2 linked regions of the Drosophila melanogaster genome follow. The protein of the gene in region 1 interacts with the protein of each later gene in a pairwise test. Each region holds a gene or a part of one and is shown in the gene's direction. Other genes may lie near its edges. The genes, in order: CG34117 and CG13689.

Region 1 (2,866 bases):
GTATAGCCATCGGGAATGGTCTCGGAGTACTCCCGAAAGTACTTGGTGCCGTATGGAGCATTAAAGCACTCCGGCAGAGTGATCAATCGGGGTTTATGCTCCTTGACCGCCGCCTCGATTTTGGTGACGGCGTTTTGGACATTGGCCACTTTGTCCTTGGAACCCTTGAGCTGCAGCAGCGCCAAACGCATGACTATTAAATAAGAAATATTTAAGTGGATCTCTTTGAAATTTTGAGAAACACTTACTGTTGCTAGTTTTGCTCATATTGCTGCAATTAAATGTTATCTTTTCGCGGTTTGATAACAGATTTCATCGCAAGCAAAACAACAACAGGTTATCGCAGGGGCGTAGTAAAAGGGATCAATATTTATAAAACGCATTATTTAACCTCATATTAATACGCATATACTTAGCCAAAGCATACTTAACCAAAAGAATATAGCATTAAATTGTGTATAAAATCCTAACTTTTCTAACAAAAAATAAATAATTTGCAACCCCCATAAGCCCATGTTTTCATGGCAATCTGGCAAGGTCTGCAGTGCTCGAAAGTGTCGTACAGTGGGCAGCGCAGCCAAGTTCACGTCGTGCGCGAACAGGGTTGCCACCTTTCTTTCTAGTTTCGTCTCTTTGAGGTATGCACGTGTTCAATTAACAATTTCACGCAAATTCGCCGAAATGTGTGAAAAAATTGTGAAAATATACCACCAAATGCAGCCCAAACTGCACCCACCCTAGTGTAACTCCAAACTAATAATGATTTTCACCGCTTTTGCACATGTAACCCACGAATCGCCACGACAAGCAGCAACAACAACAGCAAAATGGTCCAACGTCTGACGCTCCGGAGACGCCTGTCCTACAACACACGCTCCAACAAGCGGCGCATGTAACTATCCAACTGCAATACACCTCACCAATATGAAAAATAACGCACATTTGCAATTTACAGTGTTCGCACGCCCGGTGGTCGTCTGGTTTACCAGTATGTGAAGAAGAACCCCACCGTGCCCCGTTGCGGCCAGTGCAAGGAGAAGTTGAAGGGTATCACCCCCTCCCGCCCCAGCGAGCGCCCCCGCATGTCCAAGCGCCTGAAGACCGTGTCCAGGACCTACGGTGGAGTGCTGTGCCACAGCTGCCTGCGCGAGCGTATCGTGCGCGCCTTCCTCATCGAGGAGCAGAAGATCGTCAAGGCCCTGAAGAGCCAGCGCGAGGCGCTCGTCAAGCCGGTGAAGGCCCCCAAGGCCAAGCCCGAGCCCAAGAAGAAGCCCGCTGCTGGAGCCAAGGGAACCAAGGCCGGTGCCGGCAAGGTCACCAAGGGTGGTGCTGGCGCCAAGGGAGCCGCTGGCAAGAAGCCCGGCCAGAAGCCAGCCGCTGGCAAGCCCAGGAAGTAAACAGCCCACGCAACGAGTTCGGTGTACTGCTAAATAACTTTTAAAATAAATTGGTTTTTTCCAACTGGATTTACTGTTTGTATTTTTAGTTTGACAGTCCAGTTGGATTGTGTACTTTACTTATTGGTTGTTCTTGTTTTCCAATCAGACCGTTCGACTTTTAGACATTTATAGCAAAACGATTTCAAAAGTGAGAATATAATATAATTAAAATAAATAAATTTTAAATATTTCGTTTGTCACAGAGTTTTACTGTGCTCGTAGTCAAACTTTTGATGATTTTTCAGATTTATTGATAATTATAAAAAATAAGATCCAGTGTTATTTTTCAAAGTGTCAATTTGTGAGAGTGATCACTGTATATTCATTGTATGACTAGGTGGCAACTCTGTTGAGAACAGCTGTTCGGCAGAAGCAATTGGAATTTTCTTAAAAATCACGTAAGTCGTTGATTGTTTATAGTTTCTTGCAAATGCAATTAATATTTTGTGTTTAGAATGGCGGGAACCAAGGTGCTGCGCTCCCTGCTGCACGAATTGCGCCAGGCATCTCCAAATGGCTGCATCAAGGACTCTCTGGCCGCGCGCTACATTTTGGCGCAATACAAGAAGTTCGCCACCACGGAACAACAATTCTGCAAGGCGCGCAACGAAGCGACTTTCCTGGGTCAAACCTACCTGACCTACCTAGCCAGCCAGCGCCGGTACTTGGAGCTCTACAAGGAATATCACGGAAGGGGCGAGAGATCCGTAAGGGATACCGCCGATTTGGTGGGCTTCAAGCTGCCCTCGGATCCCAAGTGATCTAGTTATATAGAAAGATAGTTACTAGCGTAGTGCGATTAAAGCGTCCCGATTTTGCAAACTCCGTGCTTGTGTTTGCTGTCTACTGAATCATCTGCATGAGCATGGTTATAACCCGGTAGGAGACGCTCATCAGCTGCAGTTGAAAGCGAAATTCACATAATGTCATATAAAGTATACGTGGTGTTTGCATTTTACCTGTTTAAAGGTGTCCAGCGAAATGGACAGGTAGCCCATGGCATTAAGTTCCACGGGCTGCTGCGCCCTGATAATGATTATGAGCAGGTACCTCTTGTACGCTATAGAAGCATCGTGAAAATCATGATTGTACACGGCGTGGGCCACCTCGCCGCTCTGCGAAGAACCTCAGTTAGTGGGCATACCAAGGATCTCAGCCATTACCCACCAAGTCGAGAACTTGCTGACCGTAATAGCACACCAGGTAGACCTGCATCACAGAAGTCCCGATGAAGATCACATAGGTGAAGCCCTCCAAGGTGGGACCCTGAATCAGAGTGTACACCGCCACCGTGCAGATAACCGCTGCGGTGGTCAGCAGGCTTAGAAGCAGCGATTTTCCAAAGATACCATTCAGATCGTTTTGCAAACTGATGAAAGTGCTCATCGTAAAATTCAACTATCACTAAACATTTGGCGTAAATCACT
Region 2 (3,129 bases), on another chromosome or scaffold:
TAATATGTAAAAATTAAACAAAAGTCATGGTACCGTAAAAATTACACCATTCTATAGTTTAGAAGCTTATTTCATTGCTGTTTTCAACTATATATACTATATATTATATTCTATTTGAGCATGATCCGCCATCCTGACCAACGTCGTCTATAAGTTTATGCTCTCCAAATCTGAAATTATTTCAATGTAAATTCGAATTTCCGAACTAGTTTACTGGCACCAGCACACGTAGGAACCACTCGAATTAAAATCTTTTTTTGGCTTCGATGCGCGCAAAAAATATGCAAAATAAATGCGGGCAAAAAATCGCTGGCCAAGTCCATTAAAAGGGAATAAGTGCGTGCAAATCCTGGCCGCAGGATGTTTTTCATATTATCAGAACGCATATTACTTCATCGGAAATGAAGAGCTTTCGTTCCCCCCGCTAGTTGCCAAAGTAAACATGTGTGAATTGCTCGGGAAAAGTGAGGGATGATGGGCGGGATGATGGCCATGATATCCATATCTGTATCCGTATCCATAACCATAACCACGCGCCTTTTTCGCTACACTAAAACCGCAATACAAACACACCCACACCCACTTAAGAGAACGGAAAAAAGAACGAGGGGCACAGGATATGTTGGATGGAATGTACTGTGCACCACATTCAAGTTGATCCCCTTGTAAATCTCTAAATTGTTTTATGAACATATTGGCCGGGAAGGTGTAAACCTAATTTTCCTTTATGAACCGGACGAGGCAGGTAAAGTGGAAGTGCATCCATACCCGGACTTTTTGTTCCGGCTCAGCAGGATGCACTCCATATCAATGTGCTCTTTGTTTGGCCGCCTCATTTAAATCGTACCGCTGGCCAATTTGCATTCGCACTACAGCCAAATTGATCCGCCCTAATCCCAGTTTTAGTTTTGGTTCCCGAACTTCTTCTTCGCTACTTCGAGCGACCGACCGATCGACCGAGATTTATAAGCGCGGGATTTGAATTTGCTAGAAAAACAAAACTCCTCTGCCTTTTCCTCAGGCTTTAGCCTTAGCCCTGGTTTGGCTATGTTTCTGGCTGGGATTGGCTTGGATCTGGATTTCGGTCCGATCCGGCTTGGCTTCTGCTCTGGCTTTAACTTTGCGCTTGCCCTTTGCCGGGAAGGTCTGAACCAGAGTTTTGAAGTCAGTCGGTTGACCGGAAAAGGCCTTCAAGGGGTTGGCCGCGAGGGCAGGGAAATATAAGGGTTTTATCATTTAAGAAATGAAGAGATTTTGTTGGAATAAGTAATTCTTCAAAAATGAATAAAATTTCATTTCATTAATTTGCGGCATAATTTCATAATTATTAATTATATAAATTTTGTAATATATTGTATTGATTTTTAAGACAATTTTTTTTAATATGTATCTATGAGATTCTAAGTTAGAAACAATAATTATTATATCTAAAAGTAACATGGTGGCGCCATCTGTTGTTCCCTGAAAGCCCCTGTACTTAATTTCCGGTAACAGTAATAAGACGCCATCTGGAGTTCGCGTTGTTTACAATCTGTACACACACTGGAATTAACAGCTGTTACAGTCCGATAGACGATTATTCACATCACAATCTTAAACTGCTTTTAAAAAGATATTATTTAAAATTATTTACAAAGAAAACAACCAATTGCCAAATCAAAATTATAATGAATCATTATTAAAGCGCTTCATATGAACCAAAATATATAATTCTGTGAAGCGGTCGCTAGATTTCAGTTTCTGGCCACATTTTGGATAATTTGGCAACACTGCAATCTTGTTATTGCTTATGCTGAGAAGTAAACAAAAGGCGACGAATGTTTGTATTTTCCTAATAAAAGCCAATGGAGGATTGGAAATCGGAGGAAATGGCAAGGAAAAGAAACAGGAATAGGAGCAAGCAGCGCAGACGAAGGCAGAAAAGTGAGGGAAAGCCGAAGCCACATACATCTCGAGATCAGTGGAGCAATGTGGCTCAAAGTAACAATAATAGTCATTAATAAGTTTTTTAATAGTGTTAACCATTTAAAATTCCCTGTTATTGTAGTATACCAAAGCCTTTTTGAATGGCACCACAATCATGTTATGAGTCTCTGCCCTGAGGTTAATCCGAATCTGGATCAGGACCTTGAGGATATTCCCAAGGAAACAGGAACGTTTCACTGCCTGGACTACGTGTACGAGAGTTCTTCCGAGGATGAGGAGATCGAACCCATTGACGAGGGCTATCTGAAGTTCCTCGAGGTGACCATTAAGCATCAGCAGGAACTCAGGGATCGAAGAACTGCCCAAACCACCGACTCTTTAGATTAGAATTTTGGTAAAATAGGTTTTTACGCAGATGAAAACTTACAGTTCATTTTTATCTGGTAATGACTTAAAAATGTATCTTACGTAAAATGTTATAATTTAAGCTCAAGTTTATAGGTTTGGTATTTAGTTTTGGTAAGCAGAAAATGTACCTTTTATAGGGGATATTTTTATATGTAGCACTTTGTCTTGAACGTATTAAGTATATAAGATGTTTTGATAACTTAATGTTCATACTTAGCCATTCTAACTGAATGCCTCAAAGGGCTAGAATCAAGACCTGCGTAGGACGAAAAAGCAACTGTACTTTAATTCCCGGAACTCTTCAAGCGGGAGACAAGTGTCTGATATTCTGCTTTTCTCACATGGTTCTCCACTAATGAAGTTGTGCGAAGTTGGCAGTTTTTTGGCCAAAGGAAACGCACATTAACCCGACCAAGACTAATGCGATGTCATTTATAATCGCGCTGGGAGAACCAGAAGAAAGCTTCAAATTGGGGCATGACTAAAAAGGGAGAGGGGCTTTTGGTAGGATGGAGGACCATTTGTGGGTCAGAGACAATGTCTGCTGCTCGTGTGGGCGTGGCAAGTTGGGCATTAGCCAACATTTTTCGGCACTTTTCAGCAGAAAACCTAATTAAGACGTCCGACTCTGAGTGGCAATGGATTTTCTTGGCTTACTTATATCCCCCATCCTCTCTCTCCTGACCAAGCTCCTCCGCCCCACGGAGCTCGTTTCCCACCTGCTCCTCATTCTCCACTGAAATCACGACTGGCGACGACAACTGCGAACGACCTTTCTAATGCCCGGCCACTGCA

Evidence for each region.
Region 2: the proteins of CG34117 (region 1) and CG13689 interact in a two-hybrid assay, tested with the Drosophila melanogaster proteins (one large-scale study listed by BioGRID).

The regions. Positions count from the first base shown.
Region 1 is NT_033777.3:9,398,968-9,401,833, reverse strand, and holds CG34117 (uncharacterized protein), read left to right. Parts: upstream 1-1,780; 5' UTR 1,781-1,837; intron 1,838-1,893; 5' UTR 1,894-1,894; coding exon 1,895-2,200; 3' UTR 2,201-2,264; downstream 2,265-2,866. Other genes in the region: CG8132 (uncharacterized protein), read right to left, coding at 1-193, 249-267; RpL34b (ribosomal protein L34b), read left to right, coding at 828-892, 956-1,397; Or85f (odorant receptor 85f), read right to left, coding at 2,283-2,336, 2,399-2,554, 2,607-2,808.
Region 2 is NT_033779.5:601,027-604,155, forward strand, and holds CG13689 (uncharacterized protein), read left to right. Parts: upstream 1-1,786; 5' UTR 1,787-1,844; coding exon 1,845-1,980; intron 1,981-2,047; coding exon 2,048-2,313; 3' UTR 2,314-2,536; downstream 2,537-3,129.